Linked DNA regions of Mus musculus. The protein of the gene in region 1 purifies or fractionates together with the protein of each later gene. This does not show direct contact. Links are inferred from orthologs where the notes say so. Each region holds a gene or a part of one and is shown on either strand. Other genes may lie near its edges. The genes, in order: Pop7 and Rpp40.

What was found.
Region 2: the proteins of Pop7 (region 1) and Rpp40 purify together in Homo sapiens (co-immunoprecipitation; 4 studies listed by BioGRID and IntAct, with this or other methods). This does not show direct contact. The link is inferred for Mus musculus from reciprocal best matches to the Homo sapiens genes POP7 and RPP40.

What each region holds. Positions count from the first base shown.
Region 1 is NC_000071.6:137,500,840-137,504,140, reverse strand, and holds Pop7 (ribonuclease P protein subunit p20), read left to right. Parts: upstream 1-1,711; 5' UTR 1,712-1,862; intron 1,863-2,061; 5' UTR 2,062-2,071; coding exon 2,072-2,494; 3' UTR 2,495-2,702; downstream 2,703-3,301. UniProt on the Homo sapiens protein: Component of ribonuclease P, a ribonucleoprotein complex that generates mature tRNA molecules by cleaving their 5'-ends. Also a component of the MRP ribonuclease complex, which cleaves pre-rRNA sequences.
Region 2 is NC_000079.6:35,903,379-35,907,989, reverse strand, and holds the start of Rpp40 (ribonuclease P protein subunit p40), read left to right. Parts: upstream 1-1,642; 5' UTR 1,643-1,663; coding exon 1,664-1,786; intron 1,787-1,962; exon of another isoform or gene 1,963-2,006; coding exon of another isoform or gene 2,007-2,027; intron 2,028-3,426; coding exon 3,427-3,571; intron 3,572-4,233; coding exon 4,234-4,302; intron 4,303-4,611. UniProt on the Homo sapiens protein: Component of ribonuclease P, a ribonucleoprotein complex that generates mature tRNA molecules by cleaving their 5'-ends. Also a component of the MRP ribonuclease complex, which cleaves pre-rRNA sequences.

The DNA.
Region 1 (3,301 bases):
AAGGGCACGCTCACTGAGTTTGATGCCAGCCTGGCTGTGAGGCCCTTTCTCCAATGGCTTGGTGTACTTGAGTGTTTCTGAGTTCTCTATTTTATTGATTTTTGTATATATACACCTGCCAACAGCACACTTTTCTTAATGACCGTATTTGCATGGTAAGTCTTAAGGGGCTGGCAAGATGGATCAGTGTGTGAGCTGTGAAGTCCTTGCTGTGTGAGCCTTTGCTCCTCAGAACCAATATAAAGGTTGAGGAATCGACTTCACAACGTGTATGGTCCCTGCACTGCATACACACAATAGCCATAGCTTTAAAAGTAAATATATATTTTTAAATTTTTATATATGTGCCTGTGTGTGTCTGGGCACACACACAGGCCAGAGGAGGGTGTCAGGTCTCCTGAAGCTGGACTTAACATTCAACATGGGTACCGGGAACAAACTCGAGTCCTCTTCAAGAGAGTCATCTTGAAGAGCAGAAAGTGCTCGTAATTGCTAAGACAGTTGAGTCCAACAACGTTACAAAATCATTTTATTCAGTCTATTTATTTGCCATAAGTTTTAGGATAAGTTTATTAAAATGGTGCAGTCGTGCACACCTAAAACATTAGCGCTGGGGAGGCCAAGGCAGGAGCATGAGTTCTAGGCTAGCCTGAGCTACATCGTTAAACCCTATCCCCACCCCCACCCCCCAAAAAAAGATTTTTTGGTTTATATGTGCAACTCTTCCTGAGACTCCTCTAAATGTTCATTAAATATATAGATCAGCTCGGAGTAAACTGAGGTCTAGCATGTCAAACCTTCCATTTTAACCTAAATCCTAGAAGTTAGGGATGTATCTCAGTTGAGTGAGTCCCTGCGGTTATAACCCTGGCACTCACAAGGTGGAGGCAGGGGGATCAGAAGTTCAAGGTTGGCTATATAGCAGAGTGCACACTTCCCTTTCCAGCCTTCAGTCAGATTCAGCCTAGGTAAGTGGCCTGGAGATGTATCTAGGACGAAGCCCCAAAGCAGGCTTCACGCCTTTCTGCAGGGAACGGTCCAAATGCTTTACCATTGCGGGCAGAGATCCAGATTCCCACTAACTTTCAGGGGCTAGGAACCCAAGCACTGCAGTTCCTGTCCCTTCCGCCAGGGAGCGGCCGGTCATGGCTTGCCGGTCGCGGGAAGCAGCTCGAGTGCGGCGGGACAGTTAAGAGGTGTGGCGGGAAGCTGCCAACACTTGGCACCTCATGTGGGTCCCTCGCAGAGGGAGGAGTCCATCATGGTGGACACGATCCCTTCGATTTCTCGGCTTCCGGGGCTGTCAGGACGTCGGGCGGGAGGTCAGCTGTCAACTCCACTGCTCAGAAGTGGGATGGACGTGGACTACAGGCTTCCGGCCCCTGCGATCCCAGCTCCAATGCTGACCCGGGGTCGCTGCCCGAACCCCCTTTTCCAGCCCTGCTTCCCGCCTCGATCCTCGAGTCCCGCCCTGCCCGGGGAGGGGAGAACTGGGCGATCCACGCCACGCCCCTCTTGGGCCCGCCTCTGTCAATTAGCCCCGCCTCTGCTAGCTAGTCCCGCCCTTCGAAGCGCTCACTAGAACCCTGCGAACCCTCAAGTCTCGCGAGCCTTAAATCGCCTTGCGCACGCGCACGAGGAAAGGAGGCGGAGAGTACGGAAGCCTAGAAGGCCATAAGCTTATCGGTTCCGGCTTGGAGCGGGGACGCGCGTGCGCAGTGCGTAGCCCTTGCTGGCGAGCCTGCCCGGCGTTCCTCTTCCGATCCCTTCTCCGTTCTTCTTCTGCATATCGAGGCCAGCGACGTCCACTTGGATCGGTCGGCGAGGCTCACGCGAGTGAAGGGCACTGAGGAAGGAAGAAGGTAGGCGTGGACACGCCGGGAATGGGAACCACGTGATGAATGAATTAAAACTGGGAGTGGAGAAAGCGGAAGTGGAAGGGCTTGAGACACTGGGAAGGAAGAGGGTGTTGAGGGCGCCCCCTTCTGGTTGCACCCTTAGAAAGCCGGGCAAGAAAGGATTCTCCTGACCTCCCTGAATCTTGTTCCTTCTCCATGCCAGGACTCAGAGCATGGCAGAAAACAGAGAACCCCGCTGTGCCATCGAGGCTGAGCTGGACCCTGTGGAGTACACCCTTCGGAAGCGACTTCCCCACCGCTTGCCCCGGAGGCCCAACGACATTTATGTCAACATGAAGACTGACTTTAAGGCCCAGCTAGCTCGCTGCCAAAAGCTCCTGGACGGAGGCACTAGGGGGCAGAACGCATGCACTGAAATCTACATTCATGGCTTGGGCCTGGCCATCAACCGGGCCATCAACATCGCCCTGCAGCTGCAGGCGGGCAGCTTTGGGTCCCTACAGGTGGCCGCCAATACCTCCACCGTGGAGCTGGTGGACGAGTTGGAGCCAGAGACTGACTCTCGGGAGCCCCTGACGAGGGTCAGGAACAACTCAGCCATCCACATCCGAGTCTTCAGGGTCACGCCCAAGTAACTGAAGGGAGGCTGACTTGGACCCACCAAGGCTTCTGAGCACACACATCCATGTGGCCGAGGTTTCTAGTGCTTCATAGTGGCTCTTGTTCTGAGTTCTGTCCTGAGCCTCTTGTTACCTTGTTACTTCAGCCTAGAGGACTGAGAATGGAGAGCCCGAGAAGTGAATCTTCCTTGTCCTGTATAATAAATTATTAAGTTGTGTTGGTGCCGGGCTTCGAATGGCCTCTTTTTCCTAGTGTAATTCTGTGTGTACTTGAATAGGAAAATGGTAGGAAAGAGCAAGTATATAGGCCACAGTAAGGCATCTCACATTGAACCACAGTATGACGGGAATCAAATTTGTTGAGTGTAACACGGAAGCTTAATTGTTACAGTGTGCTCTCAGGAAGATGAGAGAGTAGACTCATCGACTGAGCTAGCTACAGCTGGGATGTATCCGGCTCTCATGGTTCCCAGGCTTGGGAAAAGAGAAGGTTTAAAGGTGAGGGAAGTTCTTTGTGGATATAACTCAGCAAAGGAATCGTGACTAGTGAGTGTTACCTAGTTGCCTAGCATAGGATTAGGCCAGAGGTTCAATTCCTAGTAACCACAAGAATTATGACGGGGGAGGGATGGGGAGATGGCTCAATAGGCAAGGCACTTGTCAAATAATCATGAATATTTGAATCAGCAGAACTCATTTTTCTGCGGAGCATTGCAGCTCTTGAATCCAATTCCCATGCTTCTACAGTGAGATAGGTATCAGAGATGGGCGAATCCTCGCTAGCTTGTGGGCTAGCTGCTCCGGCATAAACATCAGCAGCAA
Region 2 (4,611 bases), on another chromosome or scaffold:
GGCACACTTTCTCATCCCGCTTCTTTCTTTCATTTAGGCTTGCTTTCGTTTTCTTGCTATTTTCCCATTTACCCTACATAATCATTACATTCCTAGCATATTCTACATTAGTATTGTAAATTTCTGTTTCATGGTTATTAGTAATATATTGCTGAACCTCAGTAACTTTGGGTGTATTTCTATATCTTCCATTTTGTTACTGTCTCAGCAATGTGTTGTCTCCTTTATGAGTAACACCGGGGAATGAGTCTCGGAGAGTAGGGTGCTCAGTAAGAACAACAGCGAAAAACATCTCCAAATCAACACAGGTCAACACCACACACAGAAACAAAAGCATGAATGAAAAACACAGCAACAGGAGTCCTCCAAAAACAAAATCAATTATCCCAGAGTGGTGGTTCACATCTTAAATCCCAGCACTCAGGAGGCAGAGGCAGGTAGATCTCTTTGAGTTTGAGACCAGCCTGGTCTATATATTGAGTCTGAGGCCAGCCAGGATATATAATGAGACCCTGTCTCAAGACAAAATAACTTAACACCTGGATTCAATGATACTGAAATAGGTAAAATTCTGGGTGATTTCAGAAGTTTCCTAGTAAAAATACTTTAAGACCTCAAAAAAGATTGAAGCAAAAAGATTAATTCAATCTTCCCTAAGGAAGGACCTGGAAAGTCTGCTGTGCACACACGTGCACGTGCGCACGCATGTGTGTGCACACACAGAGAGTAAAATAGATGAGAAAAATCAACAATATGGCTTTTAAGAATTAGCTATGGGGGCTGGAGAAATGGATCATTGGTTAAGAGCACTGACTGCTCTTCCAGAGGTCCTGAGTTCAATTCCTAGCAACCACATGGTGGCTCACAACCATCCATAATAGAATCCAATGCCCTCTTCTGGTGTGTCTGAAGATAGCAACAGTGTACATGGAAGTACAATTCAGCAAAGAAACTGAGATTTGGAGTAAAATCACAAAATAGTAATGTTGGAAATGAAAAAAATAAATTAAATAATTAAAAACAAAGCAAAGAAGTTCTGTTGGAAGTAAAAATGCAGAAATGTCATATTATATTCCTCTGTAATTTCCTATACTTTTTGGGAAGGATCAGTGGGAACTTAGGGGCCTGCGGGTGGGTGAGCATTAGGAACGAGACCATATGAGGAGTCAGGAAAACAGTGCTGCAAAGCAGATGTATTTCCTGACTATACTAGGCTTTTCCTCTGTCCTATCTTCCTCCTTTTTATAAGGTGTCAGGGTCCAGTCCTTCTCTGAGTCCTGTCCAGGTATATGCACTGTTCCTCCACGGAGAAACTGTGGGATAGAATGGATGTGCCAGGTTTTTTCTTTCTTTCTTTCTTTCTTTTTTAAGATGCGGATGGTTGTGAGCCAACATGTGGTTGCTGGGATTTGAACTCAGGACTTTTGGAAGAGCAGTCAATGCTCTTACCCGCTGAGCCATCTCACCAGCCCCATGCCAGGTTCTTGAGAACCTTCAGACCCAGTGCCTGCAGGAACTGACAGACAGGGAAAGAAAGAAGGGTTAGGGCGTGGTGGAGGGAGGGGTGTAGTCAGAAAGGGGCGAATGGTGGGGTGAGGGGCGGGCCGAGGGGCGGGCCGGGAGGCGGGCCAAGAGGCGGTGCTCGCCTGGACTCCTGCTTAACATGGCCACGCTGCGCAGGCTGCAAGAGGCGCCTCGGCACTTACTGGTCTGTGAGAAATCCAACTTCGGCCACGATAAGTCTCGCCATAAGCATCTCGTGGAGACGCACTATCATAATTACAGGGTGAGTCAGGTCCACCCGGCCCTCTTAGGCTGGAGAGCTTTAAGGTAGAACCACGCCGGGTTTCACCCGGCCAGACCTCCTCGGCTTGCGAGGGTGGGCGGAGATCGTCCTCGGGCATGCTGGGAACTATAGTCTCTTCAAGTTTCTTAACTGCTTTTCTTGGCGCTGTGTAGGACTACAATTCCCAGCATGCGCCAAACACAGGGCGGTGCTCGGTCCTATGAGGAACAGCAGAGTTTTTGTGAGTTTGGCGTGGTTACTGCGGTGTTCAGGATTAAATCCTCTCGGTGTTGGGTCGAGCAGGCAGTGGAGGAGTTAGGAATGTAACCTGCACGGTCGGAGTGTGACCTGTACAACATGTAGCCGAATTACACCCTAAGTTTGGGCAGATCTCTGTGGATCAGCTTGTGACTCTTTCCAAAGCATCACGCGGTTTGACAAACGAGGAACTCCAAATAAACTTACCTTACGATGATAAGGGTTTAAGCATTTTACATCTTAAATATTGGCCTGATGGATTTCTCAGATAGATTAGCTGGCGTCCTTGTCCCTCAAGGCTGGTTGTTGGGGCTTTGCGAAACGGACTTTAGATGTTCACTTGGGGATCATTTGAAATCCGCGCGGATTTTGCATCTCTTCGGTTGAAAGGCCATCCCTGCGGTCAGGGATGTATCGCTTATCTCAACTGGTCTCACCTAGGTTTGTCTAGGAAATGGAAGCTTCCAGGAGCACTTTTGCTTCTATGTAGCTTCTTACTAATTAAATGTCCCTAAATCCCAGGAGGAGTTCCTTTGATTTCATGACTCCAGAATAAGCAAATCAAGGCATGTTGAATTATATATACTCTATTTCCTTGACTATAAAGTGTGAAAGACATAACATATATTGCTTGTATGCAAAAATAAGATTCAAGTAAGACTTCCATTGCAATGTCATGCCTCACATTGAAATGCAGAAAGGAAAAACTTGAGTAGTCAGATATCTGTTTACTTGAAATTAATAGAATTGTTGCCTAGTAGGTTGATGGTGATGCACACCTTTAAACCCAGGCAGAGGTGGGTAAATCTCTGAGTGCAAGGCTAACCTGATAAACAGAGCAAGTTCCAGGACAGCCAGGGCTACATGGAGAAACCCTGTCTCAGGGGTAGGTGGTGGTGGCTGTGTGTGTGTGTGTATGTGTGTGTGTGTGTGTGTGTGTGTGTGTGTTTTACTAAGGGTTTTACTGCTGTGAACAGACACTCCAACAGTGACCAGGGCAACTCTTATAAGGACAACAAGGTGGGAGCATGGCAGCGTCCAGGCAGGCATGGTGTAGGGGGAGCTGAGAGTTCTACATCTTCATCTGAAGGACACTAGAAGAAGACTGGCTTCCAGGGAGCTAGATGAGGTCTCAAAGCCCACGCCCACAGTGACATACTTCCTCCAACAAAGTCACACCTACTCCACCAAGGCCATCCCTCCTAATAGCACTCCCTGGACCAAGCATCTTCAAACCATCACATTGCCCATGTTTGCGTGTCCCTTCTATGTCCCAGTAAAACCTGTGAAGGAGTAACTAGCACCTTTGACATTCCATTTCCAAAAGCATGGTGTTAATCTTCATAAAATATAACTTCGTTTGTTCTTCTACATTCTAATAGGTTTCATTTCTTATTCCTGAATGTGGGCTTCTATCAAAAGAGCTAAAAAGCCTGGTCATGGACATTGGACCCTATTACTCTGTGAAGAACTTACCTCTTCATGAATTAATTACACACGAGTTCATCAACACCTTTGTAAAGAAAGGTAAGAAGAAACACTGTCTCATATGAACAAGACAAGATGAAGAGCTATCGGAAGATCGCAGCAAAATATTGGGGTCCTTCCCTTGTCTTTAAAAGGGCCCATGGAAGTTAGATCATGTGATCAGCTGCGTGTATCACTTCTCCACCCGGCCATATTGTCGTTTTCTTTCCTGTGTCCTCTTTAGGTGGCAGCTAAATATCTTACCAAATTTAATTAGCCCTTGCAATAACTCAGGGAAGTAGGTGGAATCCCTTTAGATGAAGGTTAAGTAGCTTTTGAATATTAACTTTCTCAAATAGTTTCTGAATATTAACTTTGATCCTTGCATCAGTGTTTTGTCCTCTTGCCTCTTTAATGTGCACCTTTCTGCTAGGATCCCCAAGATTACAGGTTCTGTTCTGAGCCCATTCTCAACCTGTTGATAGGAAACTTGCACAAAAAGCCCCTGAATGTGGCCTGAGTCCTGGGGTGGTCTAGCTGGAGCCTTGCATGTATATGTTCCAGTGTATCTCTGGGGTGTAGTGGGTTTATTGAATGAGTTAGAGCTGTAGTAGATGCTGCCTGTTACCTACCTGGAAGATTCGTTGTCACGTGAAAACCATTCATAAACAAATGTTGTGCTACTTTAGTTACTTAATTACTTTTCTTGATTTTTCTTACAGGTTCATTCTCTGCATTAACATACAATACAAGTATTGATGAGGATAATACTGTTGCTCTCCTACCAAATGGTGACAGCATTCATTTTTTTTTCTTCCTTTCTTTATTAGAAAAGAAATAGCACTGCTTAAAAAAAAAAAAGTAGGCTAGAGAAATGGCTCAGCAGTTAAGAGCACTGACTGCTCTTCCAGAAGACCAAAGTTCAGTCCCACTTGGTAGCTTACAGCTATCTGTAACTCCAGTTTGAGTGAGTCCAGTGCCCTGTTCTGACCTCCATAGGCACCAGACACATCCATGTGCACAGACATAACATGAGGATAAAACACCCATATACATAAAAATAATAAAATAATAATTTTTTTGTTTTTGTTTTTTTTCGT